4 linked regions of the Saccharomyces cerevisiae S288C genome follow. The protein of the gene in region 1 purifies or fractionates together with the protein of each later gene. This does not show direct contact. Each region holds a gene or a part of one and is shown on either strand. Other genes may lie near its edges. The genes, in order: TIF4631, SRO9, RBG1 and DBP2.

The links.
Region 2: the proteins of TIF4631 (region 1) and SRO9 purify together in Saccharomyces cerevisiae (affinity purification with western blotting; 4 studies listed by BioGRID, with this or other methods). This does not show direct contact.
Region 3: the proteins of TIF4631 (region 1) and RBG1 purify together in Saccharomyces cerevisiae (affinity purification with mass spectrometry, with the first as the bait; 3 studies listed by BioGRID). This does not show direct contact.
Region 4: the proteins of TIF4631 (region 1) and DBP2 purify together in Saccharomyces cerevisiae (affinity purification with mass spectrometry; 3 studies listed by BioGRID, with this or other methods). This does not show direct contact.

What each region holds. Positions count from the first base shown.
Region 1 is NC_001139.9:818,580-827,417, reverse strand, and holds TIF4631 (translation initiation factor eIF4G), read right to left. Parts: upstream 3,360-8,838; coding exon 501-3,359; downstream 1-500. Other genes in the region: YGR161C-C (gag protein), read left to right, coding at 4,403-5,725. UniProt on the Saccharomyces cerevisiae protein: Component of the eIF4F complex, which interacts with the mRNA cap structure and serves as an initial point of assembly for the translation apparatus.
Region 2 is NC_001135.5:54,088-61,695, forward strand, and holds SRO9 (Sro9p), read right to left. Parts: upstream 4,592-7,608; coding exon 3,287-4,591; downstream 1-3,286. Other genes in the region: glucose-induced degradation complex subunit GID7, read left to right, coding at 1-795; ATG22 (Atg22p), read right to left, coding at 854-2,440; GFD2 (Gfd2p), read left to right, coding at 4,939-6,639; dithiol glutaredoxin GRX1, read right to left, coding at 6,754-7,086; LSB5 (Lsb5p), read left to right, coding at 7,571-7,608. UniProt on the Saccharomyces cerevisiae protein: May overlap in function with tropomyosin and may be involved in organization of actin filaments. Acts as a multicopy suppressor of RHO3 mutation. RNA-binding protein which may modulate mRNA translation.
Region 3 is NC_001133.9:73,764-77,949, forward strand, and holds RBG1 (GTP-binding protein RBG1), read right to left. Parts: upstream 2,390-4,186; coding exon 1,280-2,389; downstream 1-1,279. Other genes in the region: YAL037W (uncharacterized protein), read left to right, coding at 257-1,060; FUN12 (translation initiation factor eIF5B), read left to right, coding at 2,664-4,186. UniProt on the Saccharomyces cerevisiae protein: Involved in ribosomal function.
Region 4 is NC_001146.8:410,085-418,690, reverse strand, and holds DBP2 (DEAD-box ATP-dependent RNA helicase DBP2), read right to left. Parts: upstream 5,053-8,606; coding exon 3,780-5,052; intron 2,778-3,779; coding exon 2,410-2,777; downstream 1-2,409. Other genes in the region: rRNA-binding ribosome biosynthesis protein NOP15, read left to right, coding at 203-865; CYB5 (Cyb5p), read left to right, coding at 1,389-1,751; DNA-directed RNA polymerase core subunit RPC19, read right to left, coding at 5,492-5,920; YNL115C (uncharacterized protein), read left to right, coding at 6,638-8,572. UniProt on the Saccharomyces cerevisiae protein: ATP-dependent RNA helicase involved nonsense-mediated mRNA decay and ribosome biogenesis through rRNA processing. Associates directly with chromatin, correlating with transcriptional activity.

The sequences.
Region 1 (8,838 bases):
CGGTCCTTTCCTTTCGTGGCCTCTGTAAAAAAAAGGACAAATGGTGAAGCAGTAGCATGATTAAATCGAAATATGAAGTTAAAGCCGTCAGCTAATAAATGATATAAATATACAAAACTATACATATGCTGAGTGGTCTATTATATAAAACATATCGTAAACGAAGACTGGCGAAGCTATAAATAAAAATACAGAAAGGCATTGACATATAGAACAAGATAGGAAAAAAAAGCACAGTAAGAGGATTACCCATTAAAATGCATCAAACTTGTTTATAGCTTTTAGTGAAAAGAAATGAGCCCATTAATCGAGAAAATATAACAATGGTAAATTAGGGACACTTTTTTTTTCTTCTCCATGCATATATTTTCAATTAATAGCGCAGGATTAAACGTAAGATTAAATTTGTGTTGTACTATTAATTTATTATTTTATTAGACTTTCTACCAACATCCTTGTATCCAAGTGACATTTTCGATACTTAACATGATCTATTCATGTTACTCTTCGTCATCACTTTCTCCCATTAATGCACTGAACATATTTGTTGCGGTAGAAGTTGGTGCAGCTGGTTCTTCCTTTGGAGGAGGAGCCCTTTGGCTATTTCTTTGAGAATATGTTCTGGTTGTGATAAAGCTATCTTTTGATGCAGGAGGAGCGTCCCTTCTGAAAGAGTGTCTATTACTGGAGTTGTTCGTACGTCTTGAATTAGATCTTGAATTATTCTTCAATTGACGTTGTCTCTCCTCTTCCTCATGAATCTGTTGAATGGTCTTAGGACCGTTGTCCTTCTTATCACTGTTCCAGTTCTTGTCGTGCCTTAATTCTTTAATGTCGATCAACTTGAACTTGATTCTACTAGAAATCTTAGCAGTTTGAATAATATTGTCTAAAATACCGAACAAACTATCGAGCAATTGCGAACCCTCCAATGTTGCTTGACCCGTTCTGAAACTATCGGTCTCAAATTGTTCACCAACAGTATTTAACAATTCAACAACGGACTCTAGAGTTTCTTCAGATGGAGAATCCGTCAAATCCTTCATTAGTCTACGGAAACATTCGAACATCATCTTTCCAGTCAACAGATTCAGACGGTATAGGAAACCGATGAAACGAACCAAACCTAAACCTCTTCTCTTAGCAGAAGCAGCTGCATAGTACTCTTCTGACATCATCTCAGGTTCTAATGGAGTACCATCTTCGTTTGTGGGTAATTTATCGGTCCAACCCTTGTCAAATTCGGCATGACATCTAGCAACCAAGTAATGCAAAACCAATTTTGGACCTGTCTTACCTTCATTAGTTTCATCTGTTATATCTGGGTTTAATTCTTTAACTACTTTACCACATAATTGCGCGTACATAGAAGACCAATGGGGTTCGTCACAGGCCTTTAAGAAAATCTGTTCTATCACAGCCTTTAACGTTTCACCATTTGTTTCCCATACTGATATGTTTGCAATAGCCAAAATTTCAGATGAAATAGCATCGAACATTTCCAAAGTAAGTTTATTCAGTAGTGACTTCATCTTTCTTTCAACTTCATCCTTGTCCAATAGTTCGGTCTTTCCGTCAGGGGCTAGCTTCTTTTCAGTCTTTTTAGACTTGAATTTTGGCACCCACCTATTAGCACTTGGAACAAGTGGAGCAACTTCTTCCTTTGGTTTATCGTCCTCTCTTTTCTCTTCATTTCTGTAGGAGCCTCTCTCGCGGTCTCTTCTTGATGTATAAGATCTATTAGATCTCCTGTCGTCATTCATTCTCTTTGATCTTCTCTTTGATGAAGTTCTTGAATTAGCTCTGTCATCCATATTTCTCACTGAGGTATTTCTAAAGTCATGGCCACGACTAGAATTATTGCCGAATCTGCCAGAATCTCTAGATCTATTTCCTCTGCCCATTCCTGGTGGAATGACAATTTTAGAAGCAGTGCTTTGGACCCATTCGGCGTCCGCTTTGACGTTTAGTTTGTCCTTAAATTGAAGCAAGAAAGTTGGGCCATATGTATATTTGACGTGTTCTTTCTTGTATTTGATATCAGGACCTTCAATACCTTCTGGATAGTTAAAAGAAAAGACATCTTCAATTGGTGTAGCATCTTTCAATACATTCAATATGTGAGAAACGGTGTTTGTACCATCATCAGTTTCATCAGTTGTAGTTTCGATTTCAGCTTCAAGTCCAATCTTTGTTCCAGCATCACCTGCTTCAGCCTCAACTTCAGCTTCAGCTTCATCAGATTTAGTAGGGATAGCCGGAGTTGTTGCAGATTCATCAATGTTTGACTGTTCGGTTTCGGCGACCTCAGTTTCTTCTTTAACCTGTTCACTGGGAGGCACAGGAGCAGACTCGATGGCGCTCTTAGTCTCTTCCTGTACTGGCACTTCCTTGTTTTCCTTCCCCTCCGTTTTTTCTTCTCGTTCTTTTTGTTGTTTCTTCAACTTCAAACGTTCAGCAAAGGTTAACACCTTTGGAGTGGATTCTTCCTTTATTTGGCCCTTTTCTCCTTGTTCACCTTCTTCAGCTGGAGTTTCTTGCTTAACTTCTGGCTCAGCAGATTTTTCTTCAGCAGGCTTGGTTTTTTCGGTTACCTCAGGTTTGTCCGATCCCTTCTCTTCCACATTTTCTGGGGTAGTCTTCATTGGAATATTATTGTTGCCACTAGAACCTTCAAGTTGCTCCTTTCTCTTCTTTTCTAAAGCAGCTTTACGAAGTTTAACTTGCTCGATGAAATTTCTTCTTGTCTTTTCAGCTTCAGATATATTTTCTTCAGAACTGGCCTTAGAGTCATTAGTGGAAGGGGTAGGAGTTGGAGTAGAAGTAGAAGTAGAATCAGAAGTTTCTTTTAACTTTGACTCTGGTTGCGGAGACACAGTAGATCTTTCCTGAGACTGTAGCTTGGCTTTATGCTGTTCTTTCAAATCTAAGTGTTCACCAGACTTGGTAGTGATTTCTATCTTAGTTGGAACAGGTGACTTCTCTTCGACAGGAATTGGATTAGCAGGGGCACTACCAGCGGCCGCCATTTGCTGGGGCTGGTAGTAAACGGGGTAGTTATTATAGTAACCAGTCCATGGCACGTTTGAGCTGTTGGCTCCCATGTGTCCACCTCTGAAACTACCGCCACCATTATAGTTGCCACGGTTGTTATATCTGTTTGGTCCAAATTTACCACCTCTTTGCTGATGAGGTCTGTTGCTGTTGTAAGGCTTCTTTTGGGTATAGTTGCTACCATTGTTGTAGTTGGTGTAGCCACGTTGTTGCTGAGATTCCTGCTGGTCATCGCCTGTCTGTTTCAGAGCAGCAGATTCCTGCTTTGAAGCAGATTGTGTCGGGTGAGCAGTTTCGTCTGTCATTATTGTAATAGGTAATTACAGTTGTCCTCTTACCTTGCTTATTTATGAGCAAGAAGGAGTAAAGTAAGAAGCTTTAAGAAATTGAAGGGAAGAGGAAGAATCATAATTAAGTAAATTATCACAATATCAAGATTGGTAAAATTTCAAGCAACATATTGAAATTCCATCTACCATCCATCCGTTGCACACAGAGAACGCGGCATCGAAAATTTTTCTTGAAAAAAAAACTTTTGTCAGTGAAACAGTACGAGAAAAAAAAAAAATAAAAAAAAAGCTATAATTGAAAAAGGACGCACAAAAATACGGTGAAAAAGAAAAAAAAAATCGTTTCTCACGTCGTTATCGAGTCGCGATGAGGATAGCGCCCATCATATGATCATCCCATTACGATGGAAGTCTGCCATCATGATGTCCAAGAGGGTCCTTAAAGCTATTAGTAAGTAAAAAAAAACTGTTGTTCCAGAGATATTGAAAAAAGCCTTATTAATGTAATCTTCAAAAAATGATTTCGCCCAGGATCGAACTGGGGACGTTCTGCGTGTTAAGCAGATGCCATAACCGACTAGACCACGAAACCACTCTTATTGGAAGATTGATCCAATTAAAGGGGAATAGGTCACATGAAACGACGACAACTATGCTGGTTATTACCTAGAGGGATAATTGCAAGCTAGATCTTGAAACGAACAGAGGAAAAAAGCTAAAGTAGTAACAACAACCAATATATGTATATATGAAGAGAATGTGGATTTTGTTGGAATAAAAATCCACTATCGTCTATCAACTAATAGTTATATTATCAATATATTATCATATACGGTGTTAAGATGATGACATAAGTTATGAGAAGCTGTCATCGAAGTTAGAGGAAGCTGAAGTGCAAGGATTGATAATGTAATAGGATAATGAAACATATAAAACGGAATGAGGAATAATCGTAATATTAGTATGTAGAAATATAGATTCCATTTTGAGGATTCCTATATCCTCGAGGAGAACTTCTAGTATATTCTGTATACCTAATATTATAGCCTTTATCAACAATGGAATCCCAACAATTATCTAATTACCCACATATATCTCATGGTAGCGCCTGTGCTTCGGTTACTTCTAAGGAAGTCCACACAAATCAAGATCCGTTAGACGTTTCAGCTTCCAAAATTCAAGAATATGATAAGGCTTCCACTAAGGCTAACTCTCAACAGACAACAACACCTGCTTCATCAGCTGTTCCAGAGAACCCCCATCATGCCTCTCCTCAACCTGCTTCAGTACCACCTCCACAGAATGGGCCGTACCCACAGCAGTGCATGATGACCCAAAACCAAGCCAATCCATCTGGTTGGTCATTTTACGGACACCCATCTATGATTCCGTATACACCTTATCAAATGTCGCCTATGTACTTTCCACCTGGGCCACAATCACAGTTTCCGCAGTATCCATCATCAGTTGGAACGCCTCTGAGCACTCCATCACCTGAGTCAGGTAATACATTTACTGATTCATCCTCAGCGGACTCTGATATGACATCCACTAAAAAATATGTCAGACCACCACCAATGTTAACCTCACCTAATGACTTTCCAAATTGGGTTAAAACATACATCAAATTTTTACAAAACTCGAATCTCGGTGGTATTATTCCGACAGTAAACGGAAAACCCGTACGTCAGATCACTGATGATGAACTCACCTTCTTGTATAACACTTTTCAAATATTTGCTCCCTCTCAATTCCTACCTACCTGGGTCAAAGACATCCTATCCGTTGATTATACGGATATCATGAAAATTCTTTCCAAAAGTATTGAAAAAATGCAATCTGATACCCAAGAGGCAAACGACATTGTGACCCTGGCAAATTTGCAATATAATGGCAGTACACCTGCAGATGCATTTGAAACAAAAGTCACAAACATTATCGACAGACTGAACAATAATGGCATTCATATCAATAACAAGGTCGCATGCCAATTAATTATGAGAGGTCTATCTGGCGAATATAAATTTTTACGCTACACACGTCATCGACATCTAAATATGACAGTCGCTGAACTGTTCTTAGATATCCATGCTATTTATGAAGAACAACAGGGATCGAGAAACAGCAAACCTAATTACAGGAGAAATCCGAGTGATGAGAAGAATGATTCTCGCAGCTATACGAATACAACCAAACCCAAAGTTATAGCTCGGAATCCTCAAAAAACAAATAATTCGAAATCGAAAACAGCCAGGGCTCACAATGTATCCACATCTAATAACTCTCCCAGCACGGACAACGATTCCATCAGTAAATCAACTACTGAACCGATTCAATTGAACAATAAGCACGACCTTCATCTTAGGCCAGAAACTTACTGAATCTACAGTAAATCATACTAATCATTCTGATGATGAACTCCCTGGACACCTCCTTCTCGATTCAGGAGCATCACGAACCCTTATAAGATCTGCTCATCACATACACTCAGCATCATCTAATCCTGACATAAACGTAGTTGATGCTCAAAAAAGAAATATACCAATTAACGCTATTGGTGACCTACAATTTCACTTCCAGGACAACACCAAAACATCAATAAAGGTATTGCACACTCCTAACATAGCCTATGACTTACTCAGTTTGAATGAATTGGCTGCAGTAGATATCACAGCATGCTTTACCAAAAACGTCTTAGAACGGTCTGACGGCACTGTACTTGCACCTATCGTGAAATATGGAGACTTTTACTGGGTATCTAAAAAGTACTTGCTTCCATCAAATATCTCCGTACCCACCATCAATAATGTCCATACAAGTGAAAGTACACGCAAATATCCTTATCCTTTCATTCATCGAATGCTTGCGCATGCCAATGCACAGACAATTCGATACTCACTTAAAAATAACACCATCACGTATTTTAACGAATCAGATGTCGACTGGTCTAGTGCTATTGACTATCAATGTCCTGATTGTTTAATCGGCAAAAGCACCAAACACAGACATATCAAAGGTTCACGACTAAAATACCAAAATTCATACGAACCCTTTCAATACCTACATACTGACATATTTGGTCCAGTTCACAACCTACCAAAAAGTGCACCATCCTATTTCATCTCATTTACTGATGAGACAACAAAATTCCGTTGGGTTTATCCATTACACGACCGTCGCGAGGACTCTATCCTCGATGTTTTTACTACGATACTAGCTTTTATTAAAAACCAGTTTCAGGCCAGTGTCTTAGTTATACAAATGGACCGTGGTTCTGAGTATACTAACAGAACTCTCCATAAATTCCTTGAAAAAAATGGTATAACTCCATGCTATACAACCACAGCGGATTCCCGAGCACATGGAGTCGCTGAACGGCTGAACCGTACCTTATTAGATGACTGCCGTACTCAACTGCAATGTAGTGGTTTACCGAACCATTTATGGTTCTCTGCAATCGAATTTTCTACTATTGTGAGAAATTCACTAGCTTCACCTAAAAGCAAAAAATCTGCAAGACAACATGCTGGCTTGGCAGGACTTGATATCAGTACTTTGTTACCTTTCGGTCAACCTGTTATCGTCAATGATCACAACCCTAACTCCAAAATACATCCTCGTGGCATCCCAGGCTACGCTCTACATCCGTCTCGAAACTCTTATGGATATATCATCTATCTTCCATCCTTAAAGAAGACAGTAGATACAACTAACTATGTTATTCTTCAGGGCAAGGAATCCAGATTAGATCAATTCAATTACGACGCACTCACTTTCGATGAAGACTTAAACCGTTTAACTGCTTCATATCATTCGTTCATTGCGTCAAATGAGATCCAAGAATCCAATGATCTTAACATAGAATCTGACCATGACTTCCAATCCGACATTGAACTACATCCTGAGCAACCGAGAAATGTCCTTTCAAAAGCTGTGAGTCCAACCGATTCCACACCTCCGTCAACTCATACTGAAGATTCGAAACGTGTTTCTAAAACCAATATTCGCGCACCCAGAGAAGTTGACCCCAACATATCTGAATCTAATATTCTTCCATCAAAGAAGAGATCTAGCACCCCCCAAATTTCCAATATCGAGAGTACCGGTTCGGGTGGTATGCATAAATTAAATGTTCCTTTACTTGCTCCCATGTCCCAATCTAACACACATGAGTCGTCGTACGCCAGTAAATCTAAAGATTTCAGACACTCAGACTCGTACAGTGACAATGAGACTAATCATACAAACGTACCAATATCCAGTACGGGTGGTACCAATAATAAAACTGTTCCGCAGACAAGCGAACAGGAGACTGAGAAAAGGATTATACACCGTTCACCTTCGATCGATACTTCCTCATCAGAAAGTAATTCACTACACCACGTCGTTCCTATCAAAACGTCAGATACCTGTCCTAAGGAGAATACAGAGGAATCTATAATTGCTGATCTTCCACTTCCCGATCTGCCTCCAGAACCTCCTACCGAATTATCAGACTCCTTTAAAGAACTTCCACCGATCAATTCTCGTCAAACTAATTCCAGTTTGGGTGGTATTGGTGACTCTAATGCCTATACTACTATCAACAGTAAGAAAAGATCATTAGAAGATAATGAAACTGAAATTAAGGTATCACGAGACACATGGAATACTAAGAATATGCGTAGTTTAGAACCTCCGAGATCGAAGAAACGAATTCACCTGATTGCAGCTGTAAAAGCAGTAAAATCAATCAAACCAATACGGACAACCTTAAGATACGATGAGGCAATCACCTATAATAAAGATATTAAAGAAAAGGAAAAATATATCGAAGCATACCACAAAGAAGTCAACCAACTATTGAAAATGAATACTTGGGACACTGACAAATATTATGACAGAAAAGAAATAGACCCTAAAAGAGTAATAAATTCAATGTTTATCTTCAACAGGAAACGTGACGGTACTCATAAAGCTAGATTTGTTGCAAGAGGTGATATTCAGCATCCTGACACTTACGACTCAGGCATGCAATCCAATACCGTACATCACTATGCATTAATGACATCCCTGTCACTTGCATTAGACAATAACTACTATATTACACAATTAGACATATCTTCGGCATATTTGTATGCAGACATCAAAGAAGAATTATACATAAGACCTCCACCACATTTAGGAATGAATGATAAGTTGATACGTTTGAAGAAATCACTTTATGGATTGAAACAAAGTGGAGCGAACTGGTACGAAACTATCAAATCATACCTGATAAAACAGTGTGGTATGGAAGAAGTTCGTGGATGGTCATGCGTATTTAAGAATAGTCAAGTAACAATTTGCTTATTCGTTGATGATATGATATTGTTCAGCAAGGACTTAAATTCGAATAAAAGAATTATAGCAAAACTCAAGATGCAATACGATACCAAGATTATAAATCTAGGTGAAAGCGATGATGAAATTCAATACGACATCCTTGGCTTAGAAATCAAATATCAAAGAGGTA
Region 2 (7,608 bases), on another chromosome or scaffold:
GAAGCTATTGTACACTCACTCACCACGAAAGAGTCACTTTTTAGCTTAAAAGGCAGGACTTGTATCGCGTTGGGCCACGATGAAAACATCTCTGGGAGAAAATCAATCGATCCTGCAAAAGTCCTTTACAAACCAACAAGTAGCAATGGTAACTGGCAATATGTGGAGGACGACGAAACCTTTCCACGTGTGCACGACGTGAAAATCAGCTATGACGATAAATACGTGCTTTTAATGACCCACCAGGGCGTTATAGATGTCTACGATTTCAGTGGGTTCCCCTCCAAAGAGGAGCTATCTAAGCAAACAGTGGATCCCAAAAACTTTCTGATTCCAAGGATCGCAAGATTGGACGTGGGCAAAAACATGACTTGTATCTCATTACCGCTAAATACCACGCATCAAGGCTTCCATAGGCAACAAATATCCGAGTCTCAACATTTGGTATTAGTTAGCCTTCAAGATAACGAATTACAAATGTGGGACTATAAAGAAAATATTCTCATACAAAAGTACTTTGGACAGAAGCAACAGCACTTTATTATCAGATCTTGCTTCGCCTACGGTAATAAGCTTGTCATGAGCGGATCAGAAGATGGTAAAATTTACATTTGGGATAGAATTAGAGGTAACCTAGTATCTGTTTTATCCGGTCATTCCACGGTAATGAGTAATTCCACAAAACCCATGGGGAAAAATTGTAACGTAGTTGCATCAAACCCTGCAGATAAAGAAATGTTTGCTTCTGGCGGTGATGACGGTAAGATAAAAATCTGGAAAATTTCAAGAAATTAATACTCCACCTTATATATATACGTAAGCAAAGTTTTATGTAACAAAAAAAAAAAAAGAACTAATCCAACCTTCTTTCACTTTCAGGTAAAACTTGACTGAGTTCTTCAGCCTCTCTTCTACCTCTCTTGACATCCAAACAGTTTAGCACAGGCAATGATAGCATCAAAAGCAAAAAGAAGAAATAAAACGAATAGCGAATATTATGCGTTTTATCGGTAAGCAGTCCAACAAGGAAGGGTCCCAGGATGGACGACCCCTTATCTGTGATACTGAACATACTAAAAAACGTGGATTCTTTTCCTGGAGGTACAATCAAACTGAAAACTGATCTTGAAACCGCGGACAGGCCACCTAGTGATAATCCATACCAAATGGCCAATAAGAACATTTCAAACTTATGCTTTAAACCGAACGCATTGAAGAAAAATCCAAGAATACCATAAAATGGTATGAAACTTGCCCAAATGATAATGTACATCAAAGTTTGACTAGAAGTCCACCGAAACTTTGTGGCAAGAAATTGTGGAATCATAAAGGCACCCAGCATTGCATTTACAACGGTCAAAACACTTATCATGATTAAATTGAGGGTACTCATGTGCAGTTCTGCCTTGGAGAACAAAACCGCTGTAGAATTTATAGTTGTAATGGAATCACTAATAATAAACCACGCAATAAGAAAAATCATCACATCTTTCAATAGTCTGGCATGTTTAAACGATTCGAAAAGCGAAACCCAACCATATGAAAGGTAATTCTTCCAGTTTAGTTGACCCAAGGCGTCTTGCTCACCGGGATACGGACTGCGGGCGGATGCTAATGTAGAATCGTCAACTCTTATCGGTATTGTCACATCGTCAATCAACCAGATCATGGGCAGTTGCCACACAAACCACCAAATCCCAACGAAAAGAACAGCCACTTGAACATCCTGCTTACTGCCCTTTTTAGATGCGACTAAGAACATAGATACAATCTGAACAATGAGGGCACTTGAATAACCTAAAGATGCACCTCTACCGCTAATAACAGTAGTTAACGAGTCTACCTTATCAGGTTCATAAGCTCCTTGACTTTGACATTTCAAAGAATCCTTGACAAAAATGGGCAGAAGAGAATTCCCAACAACATTGATAACGCCAAAACAACCATTGGCCACTATATAAAGCCCAGCCAGAGAATAAATCTGGGTATCATTCAATTTTGAAATCGCAACAGTCGACAATGCGCCCACAATACCAAACCAAACCAGAATTCTGCCTTTGAATTTAACGCTCCCCCAGAGATCTACTATCCCTGAAACGGAAATGACTATTATAGTTTGGAATAAAACGCTAAGGGAAAAGACATATAATGCAAAACTTGAAGTATCTACGAAGATCCGATTGTTGAACAAACCAAGAACACACTTATCTGAATCACTACCCGTTTCTGACAGGCAGGGTATGGAGTGATCGTGAACTTTTACACCATTTATACTCGCAAATTGCTGCAGTAGTAAGGGAATATACGTTGAAACCGCAGAAACGACAAATGGTTCGCTAGAAAATGAGTAAGCGTACCATCCCTTGATATTGTTTTGGGCTTTTTTTATTCGATAGTTCGTTACCGATTCATTCATATCATTTATAGTTCCATAGCTCATATCTAATGTAGAGAATATGTTATGAGCAAACTATTGCTTATAAGGGCAAAAACCGTGGTAATATAGGTACAGTTTGAAATCTTTCCTTTTGTTTACACTACGCATCTTTCAATAGCTGAGGTATTTTCGTTTAGGAAAATACCGTTTTAAGGAATTAATTTTAGCAATTTCCTAAAATTGTTGAGCGGCGCTATCAATGCCGCACAATACAACAATTAATAATCTAAGACACGTTGCATTATACATGACAGAAGCTAAAGCATGGTCTTAGATGACAATAAAAAGGAATTTGACAGCACAAAAGAGAAAAAAAAAACTATACATAAAATTTTTTACATATGAATTGCTTAGAGTAAAATAGGCATTTTTCATATCTTCTTCCCAATTATTAAATTAGCAAAAAATTGAATAAAAAAAGCAGGTGGTTTAAGAATTGCGCAGGGAGAAGAAAGAATATCATATCTCATGATGGTAGCCACTTAGACAGAGAGAAAACGAAGTGAGAAGAGGCTAGTATTTTTATATCTTAAAAAAAAAAAAAAACAAAAAAAAAAAAACATAAATATTTGTATCTTATTGCTTATGATGATAATGTACAATGAATTCAAAACATGAAAATTGTTCAAAGTTTTTATTTTTATTTTCTCTTTCGTATTAAACTGATGGAACAAATGAAAAAAATGGATAAAAAAACAAAAAAAAAAAAAAAAACAAAAAAAAAACAGCTTTGCTGGAGGATGATTAACTTTTAATTTTTTTAATTATTAGGTTTTTCAATTTTTTATGGTTTTTTGTGTAAAATGCAATGAACGAATCCATTTTTTATTTTGCAAGTGTGAGAGGCCTTTATAAGGAAGACTCGGATTCACCGGCAGCAACCGGCGCAGAGTCTTCTTTGGTTTCTTGTTCTTGAGAAGCGAGTTCAGTGGATGATTCCTCTTCTTGTTGAGGAACAGGTGGTAGGGATATCATGAATTGGTCCAATGCATCGCCGACCAGTTCTTTTTCAATATTAATTTCAGTTTCAAAAGTTTCTGGTAACCAGTTTGACCAGCTCTTGGAACGAACGAAGTACTTATCCAATGGAGATGGTTCTTTGGCTTCACCGGTAACGTTATCACCTTCCTTGGCGGCCAAAGTACCTTCTGCAACATTGACGGTAGCGGCTTCGTTAGCGACAATTTCTCTCAATGCGGCTAAAATCAGGTTAGTGTCACCTCCGAAGGACATGTTAACAACTCTGTAAAACTTAGAGATTAAAGACAATGGAGCAAAACCATCCTTGGAGAGTTTGGACCTTAAGTAATTGTCGACGGTCAAGTTTTCTTCGCTGAAATAGTATTCAATTTGTCTAGCAATGTTGTTGATGGCCATTAACACTGGTTGGACTGGATAAAACTGTTGCTGTAATTTGACCATAGGTTGTTGAGGATGTTGTTGGTTGTGATGGAAGTGGTTGTGGTATTTAGAGCGGTTGTTGTTGTTATTACGAGCGTTGCGTCCTTGGTAAGGTTTAAACTGTGGTGGGAAGCCTTGGTTCTGAGGCATACCGGCGTTATTACTGTTGTGGAACTTTCTCCTTTGAGGACCATTGCTGTTATGGTGATGACTGTGGTGATGATTACGGTGGTGAGGTGGTTGTTGCTGTTGTGTAGATTGACCATTTTCTTGAGAGGTAGCGTCTTTTGAATCTTCCTCACCTACTGCCGATTCAAAGCCATCTTTCTTCATTTGTTGTTGCTTCTTAGCATTATGTTGGTGATGCTTCTTTTTCCTGTTAGCATTACTCGACGATGTCGACGATGCTGCAGTTTTGTTGTTTTTGCTCTTGTTGCTGTTGCCATTACTTGCACCATTCTTGGAACCGGATCTTTTGGTGCCAGAGACGGTAATGGAGGCCTTGATGGGAACCCACTTGGTAGCAGTCGATGATTTCGGAGTGGGTGTTCTGTTCTTCTTCTTTCTTGTGGCATCCAAGTCTTCTATTGAGATAGTAGAAACAGGGATCTCAGTAGGAGCAAGTTTCCATGGGGAAGATGTGGGCAATGGTGCCGGCGTCAAGTTGACTTGCTTGCTCTTGGAGCTCTCTTGTTCTTGCACTTCTGGGACTGGGGCAGTAGCAGTGTTTGCGGCGGCGGTTTCAGCAGACATCGTGGGCAGAGAAGTGAAAAGAAGATGAAACACGTTAGCAGGTCCAGAGTAATCCTGATGTTCTATTACCGATCTAGGATCCCAAAAGATCTTCATAAAACCGAAAAAGATGTTAAGAAATGTTTACACTTGTACTTTTCTTTCTTTGTTCTTGACCTACCAGAAGTGAAAAAAATTTTTCATTGCGTGGGTACATCCGTGCACCATTTCTGAAAAATTTGCGATGAGCATCCCTCAAAATCCGTATTATCCGCTAGTGTTTTGAGGTTCAACAAGACAACATATAAGAAGGGAAGAAGGAAAGGAGGCAATGAGAACTTGGGTCTTGCTCGAGAGTCCAGATCCACATGCAGGTTCAAAAAATGGTGAGAGATAACAGTAATAACGGTAGCGATAAAAGCGTCCATTGGGAGAGGAGGAATAATAACGGCGCAGGCCCCCGTTATCGTTCCAGAAGCGGTAATACCGGTGCTTTGGCAACAAAACTAAGTAATGGGACGCTCTCTGTCAGAGGATTAGTGAAGGACCGAACAGGAAGCGGCAAGATCGCGGGCTGTGTGGAGGCGTTTCTGGATGCCAGGACCCAATTGAATACGCCCTGGGACCGTGCTAAGTGCAATTGGCTGGACCAGATAGATTACTATGTACAGTTGAGAAAGACCGCGTTTTCTAAGGAATTGGACCAACTAAGGAAGCCCATGATCGATGCATATGTGGCGGAGATGAGGCAGAAGTTTGATGCCTCCTATGGACAATCCAGGGCGCAATTGGAAGCCAAACTGGCGCAGGTGGACAGTGAATGGCATATGGTACATGGTGATGTGCATGCAAAACTGGAAAAACTCGTGGAAGAACGCCGGTTTTTGAAAAGATTAAGCGACACGATCGTACCACCCAGGTCCAAAAGATCACAGCGGCTGTCTCCATTGACCAAAGAGGACCGAGCCAACTGTATCTGTCCGCAGCCCAAAGGAATGAGCGACACCGCTTGGTTCGAAGCCATTCAGAAGAAAATGTTAGGAATGAATGGTACCATCAAGCTCCTAGAGACAGAACAGAAACTACTGGCTGACGAGAAAAACAGCGTGAGGAAGACGTTCTGGCCCATGGTGGAAGCACATTCACGCTCGAATGAATTTGCTTATCTGGAGAAATGCATCAGGCTGATGGCCTCTCAGAGAGCAATATGCTTTTGTCTTGATATAGAGGCTTTCGAAACAAACCAGAACGTAATCACCGAAATTGGGATTTCAATTTATGACCCCAGGGAAAATATGGTGCCGTCAATGGTTCCAATTACAAAGAATTACCACCTAATTATCGAGGAGTCCCTGGAACTTAGAAACCAAAAATGGGTCTGTGACTACAAGGATTGCTACTTATTGGGAGAAAGCTATGTTTTGAGCTTGAAAGAGTGCGTGCATTTCATTCAATCACTAATAAACTATTACTTGGTCCCGGTGACCGAAGAAGACAAGACATGGTCAAGGGCATTTGTTGGTCATCACGTGAGCGGGGATCTTAAGTGGCTGGAGACTATTGGTGTCAAATTCCCTGGCAGAGGGTATGAAGGCCATCTGGACCATACGCTGCTTTTGGCTGAAACTCCCGGTGATCTAGACGTGTTCATCTTGGACACTGAGCAGTTTTACAGGAAATCGTATGGCGAAAAGGGCAGCAGTCTGGGCAAGATTCTGCGGTTGTTCGAGATACCGCATGCGTTTCTACACAATGCCGGTAACGATGCCTACTATACCCTGCATTTGTTCATGAAGTTTTGCGATGTTAATTTCAGGAAAATAAGCGGCATGGACGATGTTCTTAAAGTAATGGGCCAAGTAAAAGTTTGGGGAGAACGAGACGTACGAGAGCCTAAAGTGGTGCCCATGTCGTATGCCATCTCCATCGAGGAGGCAGTCAAAAATCGGACGTACCGCAAGGGCGTCAAGAGCAGTAGGAAGGAAAGAGTCTGCCAAACGGAATTCGGTGGGTTAACGTATTTCGGAACTGCTAAAGACGCCTTCACAAGCACTCTTCCGACACACTAAATATATTCATCGATTTTTTTCCTGTAAATACAAACACATGCTTGTATACATATACATATACATATATATAAGCTCATTATAAACCTGTGTGCATGGAAAAAACTTTGTCTGCCCTTAATTTGCAAGAATAGGTTCTAACAATTCCTCCAATTCACCAGTCTCCCTCAATTCCTGCAAGTCGTCGTTGCCTCCAATATGTTTACCATTAATATAGATGTTTGGCACGGTTCTTTGGCCATTAATCTCATATAACGCAGCCTGAATGTCTGCGCCTTCCTTCATGTCATTCAATTGCAAAACCAGAACTTTGGACCTGGGAACCTTTAACTTTTCAAAAAGCGTGTTTAGGGCTGCATGGCAGTATGGACAGTACGTTTTGGATGCGACGAAGATCTCGTTTTCTGCAATAAGGTCCTTGACGTGCTTGATAGTTTCTTGAGATACCATTTTTTTTCCTTCTGAGGTTTTGTCTATTTGTATAATTATGCGAATGCTCGTATAAGTACTGCACGAAGTTCTTTATTTTATGCTAAAGTCCCTTTTTATATTATATAAACTTTTCATTTATTTTATATATTTACTCCTTTCAAGACAAAATTCCCACATCACGTGAATCAGGAGGCGCAAGGGGGGTAGTAAGGCAGTAGTAGATAAAGAAAACAAGCATCGCAATCTGGAAACGCCGTTGCGGCTGCTCGTTATCTGTAGACAGCTCACTTGTGCATGAAGTTCATGTTTTATAGATGATGGAGCCATACTTCAAGGTGATAACTATGAAACTGTTTTGACCTTGACGTGTAAAGTGATCAAGGTAATAGTTAAACTTTATATATGTTGTTTATCAATGTGGTATCCTTTCTAAGGATGAAGACAACACGATTGTGACAGTGTGAGAGAGTGATAAAGCATTGGAGGCAGGCAAAACAAGAACATGGGGTTTCTTTCGGATCATCCGCATACAGCTATCAC
Region 3 (4,186 bases), on another chromosome or scaffold:
GGCAGATTCAATTAGTGTCCTAAATTTATTCGCGTTTCAAGATTTCAAAGGATTGATCCTCTTATCAGAAACGATAAGTGCTACTCCGTCCTATTCTTCTAGCCATCTAGTACGTATTCTTTTCATAACATAATCCCTTATTTACAGAATGTGTTTCGAAGAAAAATTAATTAGATGGGAAGAAAACTGAAGTGGCTTATATAATCAGTGACATAGTGCCAATAATTACGCAAAAAGCAAAGGAAATAACACTGCTATGGATATGGAAATCGAAGATTCAAGCCCCATAGATGACCTGAAGTTACAAAAACTGGATACCAATGTTTATTTTGGACCCTGTGAGATATTGACACAACCTATTCTTTTGCAATATGAAAATATTAAGTTCATCATTGGTGTCAATCTAAGTACTGAAAAGATAGCGTCGTTTTATACCCAGTATTTCAGGAACTCTAATTCGGTAGTCGTGAATCTTTGCTCACCAACTACAGCAGCAGTAGCAACAAAGAAGGCCGCAATTGATTTGTATATACGAAACAATACAATACTACTACAGAAATTCGTTGGACAGTACTTGCAGATGGGCAAAAAGATAAAAACATCTTTAACACAGGCACAAACCGATACAATCCAATCACTGCCCCAGTTTTGTAATTCGAATGTCCTCAGTGGTGAGCCCTTGGTACAGTACCAGGCATTCAACGATCTGTTGGCACTCTTTAAGTCATTTAGTCATTTTGGAAATATCTTGGTTATATCATCACATTCCTATGATTGCGCACTTCTCAAATTTCTTATTTCCAGGGTGATGACCTACTATCCACTAGTGACCATCCAGGATTCTTTGCAATATATGAAAGCAACCCTGAACATATCCATCAGTACATCCGATGAGTTCGATATTCTGAATGATAAAGAACTGTGGGAGTTTGGCCAAACCCAGGAAATTCTAAAACGTAGGCAGACGAGCTCAGTCAAGAGGAGATGTGTCAATTTACCAGAAAACTCTACGATCGATAACAGAATGCTTATGGGTACCACAAAGCGAGGTCGCTTTTGAAGAGCCCTCGGTAGCATAACATTTTTAATTATTACGACTGTTTTTTTTATTCATTATGTAGAGATAATTAAATGTTATAGATGCTCTATACTCAAACGGTGGAAGAAAAACAGCGAAAAAAAATAACCGATACCCCCTTTTCGAATACAAATGCTTGTATATTCAATTATGAATTATTTTTTTTTTTTTTCATTTCTTATATTATTTTTTGTTCGAGAATCACTTTTTCAAGATGGTAACAACATCTTCGTCTTCCAAAATGTGACTCAACCCCACGTATTGAGGTTGATGTTTGACACTGCTACCGTAAACCAGAGCATTTCTAAAGTCGTCCACTAAAGATTTATGAATTTGGTTACAAAAATCCTTGACACTGCAACGGTCTGATCTTAGCACCACAGGGTCGGTAAAATCTGGTATTTGGCCCTTTGGTTTAGTGTAAATACGGACTAGATTTAGTCTATCCCACATGACTTGCAACAGCTCGTCCAAGTTCCAATCTTGACCAGACGAAATAGGCACGGCATTAGGAATTCGGTAAAGTAATTCCAATTCCTCTATTGACAGAGAATCAATCTTGTTTAACACATAGATGGCAGGCATGTATCTTCTTGACGAAGCTTCCAAAACATCAATCAAATCATCCACAGTGGCATCACACCTGAAGGCAATCTCAGCGCTATTTATTCTGTACTCGCTCATAACGGCTCTGATTTCGTCATTCCCCAGATGGGTCAATGGGACTGTGTTTGTGATGGAAATACCACCTTTCTCTTTTTTTTTGATCAAGATATCTGGCGGAGTTTTATTCAGACGAATCCCCACACCTTCCAGTTCCTTCTCAATGATTTGCTTATGATGCAAGGGTTTGTTCACATCTAGGATGATAAATAACAGGTTACAGGTTCTTGCCACGGCAATAACTTGCTTACCTCTACCTCTACCATCCTTAGCACCATCGATAATACCAGGTAAATCCAACATTTGGATCTTGGCACCTTTATAACGAATGACACCGGGGACGGTAACCAGGGTGGTAAACTCGTACTCAGCTGCTTCAGACTCAGTACCAGTCAACTTGGACAGTAATGTAGATTTCCCCACCGACGGGAACCCGACAAACCCCACACTGGCCACACCAGTTCTAGCCACATCAAAACCAATACCAGCACCACCACCGCTGCCGGATGAAGCACTGGTCAACAATTCTCTTCTCAGTTTGGCCAGCTTGGCCTTCAGTTGACCCAAATGGAAAGATGTGGCCTTGTTCTTTTGGGTACGGGCCATTTCATCTTCGATAGCTTTGATTTTTTCAACTGTAGTAGACATTTTGCTCAATCAACAACTCTACGCTTGCACCTACTGCATCTAGCTTCAAACACTTCCTATCATTGCGCCCTCATCACACCGTAATATCCCATCTTAAAAGTGGAAAACTCTTATAGCTCATCGATGAAAAAAACGGGCCCTCGTCGCTTGTGATGTGAAAAAATTTTTCAAGCTTTAAGCCCATTGAAAGCAAGAGATCTTGCACTAGAATAAGTGGCAAAGGTGAACTTTGAGGGGATAAGAAGGGCAATCAGGAACATCAGATAAGTGAAAGATGGCGAAAAAGAGTAAAAAGAACCAACAGAACTACTGGGATGAGGAATTCGAAGAAGACGCCGCCCAGAACGAAGAAATCAGTGCCACGCCAACTCCAAATCCAGAAAGCAGCGCAGGTGCAGATGACACTTCCAGAGAAGCAAGTGCAAGTGCTGAAGGTGCTGAGGCCATTGAAGGCGACTTCATGTCTACTTTGAAGCAATCGAAGAAGAAGCAAGAAAAGAAGGTTATTGAAGAGAAGAAGGATGGTAAGCCTATACTAAAGTCCAAGAAGGAAAAGGAGAAGGAAAAAAAGGAAAAGGAGAAGCAGAAGAAGAAAGAACAAGCTGCCAGGAAGAAGGCCCAACAGCAAGCTCAAAAGGAGAAGAACAAGGAGTTGAACAAGCAAAATGTTGAAAAAGCTGCTGCTGAGAAGGCTGCTGCTGAGAAATCCCAAAAATCTAAAGGTGAAAGTGATAAACCAAGTGCTAGTGCTAAGAAGCCAGCCAAGAAAGTACCTGCCGGTTTGGCTGCTTTGAGACGTCAATTAGAATTGAAGAAACAACTTGAAGAACAAGAAAAGTTGGAAAGAGAGGAAGAAGAAAGATTGGAGAAAGAAGAGGAGGAAAGATTGGCCAACGAAGAAAAAATGAAGGAAGAAGCTAAAGCAGCTAAAAAGGAAAAGGAGAAGGCAAAGCGTGAAAAACGAAAGGCTGAAGGTAAGCTATTGACCAGAAAGCAAAAAGAAGAAAAGAAATTATTGGAAAGAAGACGTGCCGCTTTATTGTCTTCCGGTAACGTCAAAGTTGCCGGTCTGGCCAAGAAGGATGGAGAAGAAAACAAACCAAAGAAGGTTGTTTACAGCAAGAAGAAGAAGAGAACAACCCAGGAAAACGCCTCCGAAGCCATTAAATCTGACTCTAAGAAAGACTCGGAAGTTGTACCTGATGACGAACTCAAAGAATCCGAAGATGTTTTGATTGATGATTGGGAAAATTTGGCTCTTGGTGATGATGACGAGGAGGGAACCAACGAAGAAACGCAAGAATCCACCGCAAGCCATGAAAATGAAGACCAAAATCAAGGCGAAGAAGAAGAAGAAGGAGAAGAAGAAGAAGAAGAAGAAGAAGAAAGAGCACATGTGCATGAAGTTGCCAAAAGCACACCAGCAGCTACACCAGCAGCTACTCCAACTCCATCCAGCGCTTCTCCAAACAAAAAAGATCTTCGTTCCCCAATTTGTTGTATTTTGGGTCATGTCGATACCGGTAAGACTAAATTGTTAGACAAAATCAGACAAACCAACGTTCAAGGTGGTGAAGCTGGTGGCATCACCCAACAGATTGGTGCCACTTATTTCCCCATCGACGCTATTAAGGCAAAAACTAAAGTTATGGCTGAATATGAAAAACAAACTTTTGATGTCCCAGGTCTTTTGGTTATTGATACCCCAGGTCACGAATCCTTCTCTAACTTACGTTCAAGAGGTTCTTCATTGTGTAACATCGCAATTTTGGTTATTGACATTATGCATGGTTTGGA
Region 4 (8,606 bases), on another chromosome or scaffold:
GAGACGTATGCGGTTACCCCCCAGATTTTGCCTGTTTCTTTTCACTATGAAAAATTTTCCGCCATAAGAAAAAATGAAGTAGTGCATCGCATCTCATCTCATCACTTAATTTGAAGACGATTACCATTACTTTTAACTTCATTAACTACCTTTTCTATAGGGTTAAGTTCTAGAGATAAAATAACAGAGGAAAGAGATCGATATGGTAAAGTCAACAAGCAAAACTTCCACCAAGGAAACAGTAACCAAACAACCCACCGAAGAAAAACCTATACAGGAGAAAGAAGAGTTGGCTCTAGAAACATCGTCTAGCAGTTCAGATGAAGAAGACGAAAAAGATGAAGATGAAATTGAAGGTTTAGCCGCTTCTGATGATGAGCAGAGCGGTACACACAAGATTAAAAGATTGAATCCTAAGAAGCAGGCTAATGAAAAAAAGTCGAAAGATAAAAAGACACTTGAAGAGTATTCTGGGATTATTTATGTGAGTAGACTGCCACATGGGTTCCACGAAAAGGAATTAAGTAAATATTTTGCTCAATTCGGTGATTTAAAAGAAGTGAGATTAGCACGTAATAAGAAAACTGGAAATTCCAGACATTATGGCTTCTTAGAATTCGTTAATAAAGAGGATGCAATGATCGCCCAAGAATCTATGAACAATTACTTGTTGATGGGTCATCTACTACAAGTGCGTGTATTACCAAAAGGAGCTAAAATCGAGAAATTGTACAAATACAAGAAGAGAGTTCTAGTAGAGAAAGGTATCACCAAACCAGTAAAACAGCTAAAGGATAACATGAAGCAAAAACATGAAGAAAGGATAAAAAAATTAGCCAAGTCAGGTATCGAATTCAAATGGTGACTTGTCACTTCTCATCCACCCTGAGAAAAGGGTTTTGTAAGATAGAATAGGAGATATAGCAAACTTGGGAAACCATTTATATCATTAATTCCAGCAATATAGTTCCGTTTGTCCGTATTCAATGATATTTACATGATTGCTTTTACGAAGATTCAACGACCAAAATCACGGAGCGGGTAATAGCCTGGAGTTTCCGGATGAAAAATTTAACGGCCCAGAAAAAGAACAATAGCTGCAAAAAAGAAAGCTATACGAGATCGAGATAGTGAGAGAGGTTAGCATAACGAGAAAATTTTTGTCGCATTCGTGGCCAAAAAGCGATATTTGAGAAGCATTGTTATTATATCAATAAATAACAAATATATATATTGTCCTTTTTCCAATAACTATATAAAGAACAAGAAGCTTTTGAAACTTTCTCAAAAATTTTCGTTCAGGCTTCCTCGTTAATATTTAAATTCGATTTTCATTTTCTTCATAGTAAAGAAAATCAATCAACTACAACATAAAATATCAAACAATCATGCCTAAAGTTTACAGTTACCAAGAAGTTGCCGAACACAATGGCCCAGAAAATTTCTGGATTATCATCGATGACAAAGTTTACGATGTTTCTCAATTCAAAGATGAACATCCAGGTGGTGATGAAATTATAATGGATTTGGGTGGACAAGATGCTACAGAAAGCTTTGTCGATATCGGTCATTCTGACGAAGCATTGAGACTACTGAAAGGTTTATACATTGGTGACGTTGACAAGACCAGTGAGCGCGTTTCTGTGGAAAAGGTATCTACCTCTGAAAACCAAAGTAAAGGTAGTGGTACATTGGTTGTCATATTGGCCATTTTAATGCTAGGTGTTGCTTATTATTTGTTGAACGAATAATTTTTCTTCCAGAATAGCCCACACTCTTCTCCAAACTCAATTGAATTTTTCGTTTCAGTTTATTAAATTATTTATTTACAAGCAATCAAGGCCAAATTAATGTCTTACAACATTAACTTATGCTACTATATCGCATAGAAGTATGTCACTGTATCATAGAATCTGCCTGGCAGATAGAATTATTATAAATTAATATGTATATACTTATCTTTGTGTATGGCTAAAAATCATCGTCTTAGATAAAAAAAAAAAAGGCAAATAAAGCTCTGCTCTTACTTCAATACGATCAACCTGGTTGTCGTGCATTTCGCTCATTCTAAAATGACCCATAAGCGCTAGTGCACGACTTCTTTGTAAGTCTACTGTTTTTTTGAAAATCATTCGTTTAACATCGGCCCCAGGGTTGTACGAGAACAAAGAAAAGTGTCTGTCCTATTATTTTACGGCACACTAAGCGTTATGCGAAATAACTTCAATCCAGTTGCCACCGTTCACCCAAAAACTTAGGAGTATTAAAGAAAAAGTGTGACGAAGAGCTTTAAAATATTAAAAATGTAGTATACAGCAAATAAAATTTTATCATGCATTGAAGAAATAAGGTGCAGTCAACTTATATAATTATTATTAATAGAGATGAATGAATTGAATCACTTTGACTTCAATAGTTTGAACGACCTCTGTTACCCCAGCCACCATCTCTCTGCCTGTTACCGCCGTAACCACCACGGCCACCACCGTAACCACCTCTACGGCCATAGCCACCACGACCACCACGACCACCACCGTATCTTGGGTGACCGCCACCATAAGATCTCCTGTCGTATTTCAATAATTCGGGAGGAATATTTTGATTAGCTTCTCTCATGATAGAGATTAATTTAGCACCTAAACCTTTGTTTTGTTCGGTGAAGAAAGATATAGCAGTACCAGTAGCACCTGCTCTACCAGTTCTACCGATTCTGTGAACATAATCTTCAATGTTACCTGGCATATCGTAGTTGATAACGTAATTGATACCTTTGACATCTGAAAAAATAAAGAAGTAAACAAACGTTTACAAAGCATACTGTTAGTAATTTGGTTCGTTATTCTGTATATGAACTTTATTTTCATGCCCCCCACAAATTCATGTTTGGACTCCCAACATTGTCTCAAATTTCCCCCTGGCTTGAAGATTATCAGAAATTATATTTTTATTAAAGAATTCGAAATATTTAATCATCAATACTCCAGAATCCTTATTCAAACTGAATGAAAGCTAGCACTTAAAAAAAGGAAAACAAAGTAAATGATTTCTGAATATGGTTGAAATCCTTTTATTTTGTTATTTTCCATTTTTATCAGCACTTCTTAATAATTCGAACTTGGGATGCAACAGTATCTCAATATAACTACAAAATGCATAAACTACACAAAATGAGAATAACAATAGTCAAGAAGGATGACGGCATTTCAAAGTAGAATATACTATTATTTTTCCAATAAAACAATCTACCCTTGTACAAATGCCAAGCATTGAAAAAAACAACGATCAACGAAGCGTATGTATGCGTTCTAGAAATAAGCTGAAAAGCCAATTCCTTGTTTATTTGCGCCGATGTCAAAAAGCGAAATTTCTTTTGACATGAAGTGCAAATCATGAACACAAATACACTTCTCCGAGTTTATAATTTCCCGTCTCTCAAAACGACTAATTAAAGTCAATTTTTCTCATCCTCCCAATATTAGTTTTCTGTAGTGATGCATTAGAAGTCATTCGAATTAAAATTCAATTTCCGATACTCCCCATCGAGAATAGACTCACATAGAGTCTAGATTCGAAAAGGCTCAAAAAAAAAAAAAAGAAAAAAAGAAAAAAAAAAAAAAAAGAAAAAAAAAAAAAAAAGAAAAAAGGTCTCTCTTCTGTACTATCATGGTTGTCATAAAGTCATTAATGTCATTAAAAGCCATTAGGAAATAGCTGTAATATCGTTAGGGGTAACAAAAAAAAATAAAATCAATAAAAAAATGGAGAAAATTTTAACATACCGATACCTCTGGCGGCCACATCAGTAGCAACCATAATTGGGGATCTACCGTTTCTAAACTCTTGTAGAACCCAGTCACGTTCTCTTTGGTCTTTGTCACCATGAATAGCCAAGGCGGGCCATCCATCTTCTCTTAGATACTTGGTGATATCATCGCACATTCTTTTCGTAGAAGCAAAGATTAATGTCTTGTATTCGTTGTCTTGAGAGGCTGTTTCTAAGTACTTGTTCAAACGATCTCTCTTTTCGAAATCAGAAACAACTTCGACGATCTGAGTAATATTATGGGAGGCAGATAGTTCTAGAGAACCAACTTGAACTTGAATTGGATCATTCAAGTAATCAGCGGCTAGTTGCTTCACCTCCTTTGGCCAAGTGGCAGACCACATCAAGGTTTGTCTATCAGGTCTGATTTGATCAACAATCTTTCTGATTTGAGGTTCAAAACCCATATCTAACATTCTATCAGCTTCATCAAGAACCAGGTAAGTGACTCTCTTCAAATTAGTCTTACCAATCTCTAGCATATCAATTAGTCGACCTGGAGTAGCAATAACAATTTCAGAGCCACGAGATAAATCTCTGATTTGTTGACTTTTTGGAACACCACCGTAGACACAGGTATTTCTGATTCTGGAACTATGACCAAACTTGGAACATTCTGTTTGAATTTGAACAGCCAATTCTCTAGTTGGAGCCAAAACCAAAACAATTGGTCCATCGCCTGGAGCCAATAATGGTTGAGCGTTGATATGAACAATACCTGGTAAACAATAAGACAAAGTCTTACCGGAACCAGTGGCAGCAATACCAACCATGTCCCTACCAGATAAAGCCATTGGCCAACCCTGACATTGAATGCCAGTTGGTTTGTCAAATCCTTCAGCCTTCACTTCATTCAAAACGTAGTCTGGGAAACCAGCTTCATCGAAAGTGGTGATTGGCTTTGGAATATCGTGTCCGGAAATAGTCATTTCATTTTCCTTTCTGAACTGAGCAATCTCACTGTCCGATCTGTCGCGAACACTTTCGTGTTCAACATAGAAATTCTTTTCGAAAGTTGGCAATTTGGGTAATTCTTCATCCCAGTTTGGTTTGATCAATTCCTGGGGTTGGTTGTAATTGGAACGACCACCGAAACCACCACGGTAGTTACCGCCTTGTGGTCTGTCATTGTAAGAGTTTCTATCAGAGTTTCTTCCACCGCGGAAGTCGCCACCTCTAGACTTGTAGTTAGTCTTGTTATATTGCTGATCTCTACCACCGTAAGTCATATTTGCTCTAAATTTGCCTTAATAGTGCTTAATTCTGTTACAGGTTGTTGACAAGAAAATAATTTGAATGAGATACAGAAAAGTATAAGTTATTTGAGCGTAGGACAGTCTTTTTATAAGACAAATAAACTGAAGGAAAAATTTTCTGCGATGAGCATCGGCGTAAAAAAAAAAAAAAAAAAAAAAAAAAGAAATAAAAAAAGAAATAAATTTTTCAATCATTCAATACGGAATACGCCTTTAAAAAGGAATTTCGAATTCTCAACATTATTAGCACCTTGTACGAAGGTGTATTTTTATCTGGTTATATTATACATAGATTTTAAATAGCACGACTATAAACGGGATACACAAATCAAGCTGTATCTATACTAGCGTGGTGTGCATAATTATTAGAAATTTCAGAGTGACAGAGGGTCTTTGAGTCGATCCGTAACATCTACATGCTCTTGATTTTTTCAGTAAACTTAGATTCTACAACGTCACATAAATCCATCAAGTCCTTTAGCCCTTTTTGAAGAGCATCCACCGCGGTCGTTTCACCGTAGGTTTGAATTCTGATATTTAATAGGTTTTCAGAAGGATGAGGTATCGAGTAACCACAAAATTCTACGTCTGGATTTTTCATTATAACGTAACGAAGGGCATTTCCAAGCGTGTGATCCTCCTCTACAATTTGAAAAGAGGCACTAGTTCCATCTTCAGATGTTGCCTGTGTGAGAAGCTTAATTTTTTCCCTGTCTGGTTCCTCTTCCTGTTCTTCATCGCCAGTCATATCAACATCCTGTTCTTCTTCTTCTTGGATGTGCTTTGGTTCTTGTGGTGTTACCTCTGTAGCGGTCTTTTTTTGTTCGATGTCTTCAGTCATTTGCCTGGTACTTTATGTGAAGTTCAATTTTTCCGACTTTGGATTGATGGCCTTTCCCCAATTCGTTACTTTATACCTCAGCATTAGTATGGTTTTCTTTTGAAATTTTTTTTTTTTCCAGCTCATCGCAGGTGAATATTTCTATCACTTGTTACGTTTACCATTACCCGGATTGAAGTAAATATGATTCACCCCAATAAAGCTGTACAGAAGAGATAAGATGTAGCTTTATTAGAACAAAGTTTATCACGTTGTTGGTACTTAGAATAATCTATGATATTGTTGCGTCTTTTTGAATAAGCTTTCTTGCGTGCCGTTTTTTTCGGTTTTTTTTTATATTTCTGCCCAAAAAACGTAGTTCAAAGAAAAGGAACTATCCCAAAATAGAAGCAAGTTATGTTTAAGGAATTAAAAAATGTACCTATAAAGCACGTTTTTCTGATATGTATATGCCTATGTAATGTAGAAGTTGTCGAATCAGCAATCGTATTGGTCAACCTTGATGGCATGTTCTCAGCACGTTTTGAAGTGGCTATGCATATATAGTGTTCTTTAATCTATTCCTTGCAAGGCTATTCGGACCCCTAATTTTAACCATCGTGCAGTTTAAAGGGATGAGAGAAAAACTAAAAGTTAGATGCCTTGCTATATTCTATAAGGAGGAAAGGAAAGGAAAGCCATTGAAGAAAGAACTGTAGGCATCAGAGCGAACAGATCATGAAGGCTAATGGTTTAGATAATGATCCGGCAAGGACGGGAATGGAAAGAACAGATATAGATAGTGAACACCCAGAAGCGCAACCGTTGCTGAACAACAACCACCGGACCCTTGGTGCAGGATCCGCGAATGGCCCAGCAGTTAATGAAGGTCGTGACATTGAATCCGATGGGTTCATCAAAGATAGTCTCTTTCAAATTCGCAAAGGTTATAGAATCTTTATTCATAACTCCAAATGGATATTAAATATCCTAATTCTAATTAACACCATCTGGCTAGTCACCACTTTGATTTCAGATTTCTTTTTCAATATCAATATTCTTTTCGGATTCAGTAACAGGTACGCAAGTTTTAACGACTTGACTTTAATATTCATCTCGATCATAGCTAATTCTTTCAATCTCTGGTTTAATAAGCTGGGACTGTACTCAGCTTTAGATTACAGCTTAAATGTAACTCTCTGTGTTTTGACGTTGTTCAATCTAGCATTGACCTATCTAATTAAATACACTAGGCAAAGAATCGGCTTTGTGGGCACGTTTACATATTTGTGGACTTCGTTTTCATTTTTTATTGGGGCAATATTAGATTGGTATCTCTTGTTTTACAACAACTCAATAAATGAGCCATTGGAGGAACGCAGAATTGATGATGCTAATATTAGTACTTTCAACGAAAACCATACAAATAGTACCGAAAACAGGGACAGAAGCCAATATGGCTCTGGGTCGCCAACCCCCACCCACCGCTCGCAGCTGGTCCAAAACAAACATACATTGACAGAATGGGTATCCATTGGGTTCAGGAATACTATTAAGTTTTTAATTTTAATATTCTTCGCTTTATTCACCCTGAATACACTTTTAACGACATTGGATACCTACAGATTGACTCACAAATTACCAATAACCGTTCAGTCGCCCTCGTACGAGGCGTTCCATTACGTAGATGCCGCTAAAACCTATCAGTTGCATATAACTTGTTATGGTGACGTATTTGATCAAGAAAACAACACAGATTTGTCTGAAAATAAGAAGCAACCTATCATCTTGTTTGAACACGGAGGTTATGATACTGGTTACCTTTCTGCCACCTGGATTGAGGAACTATATCATTTAGACAAAATTCAAAGATATTGTCTATACGATAGACCAGGGTACGGGTTGAGCGATTCTCCTCCCGCCCCAATCTCTATTGCGATGGTTGCGGAATCTTTAAGGTACGCATTGATCAAAGATGCAAAAATTAAAGGTCCCTTCACTACAGTAGGATACGACCTTGGCGGGCTATTTACAAGAGTATTTACCGCCAAGAATGTCGATATTGTGGATAGCATGATGCTTGTTGAATCATGGCATGAAGAACTATTGTTAAAAAACTACATTCAAAGATTACTACCTCCAGGCCGTGGTGATGGCGACGATGGCGACGATGGCAATGGTAATGATGGGGATGGCCGCAACCATGATAAGACTTGGTTACCTTCGGAGATAGAAAGGCATAACGAATTTAGATTATGGTGGAAAGGCATTTGGTCGAGTTTAGGATGGAGATTACAGACTTCATGGTTACTAGCTCATCATGGGTCTAAAGAACGTATATATGGGCGTGATATGAAATATCAAGGACGTTTCTTGCGTTCCAAGTTTTTGGAAAGCGTGACGAGTTCAATTCTAAGTTACAGAGATGTGACAAACAATGCAGAATCTTTGCAAAATGTGAAGACAAGCATCGTTAGCTCTAAGGAAATGGTGAAGAAGTCGGCATTATGGGGCGATTGGCAAAGAGATTTGACCAAAATTTCTCACAAGACTCAAGAATGGAAAATAGTTGAAGGTGGGCATGAAATATATAAGTATGGTCTGGGCAAACAACAAACTCAAGAAGTCCTATTAAGATTAATAGGTGAGCTTGGCAAACTAACCGAGGATTAACCGAGTTCTTTACTTTTTTTTTAGTTTTATATGT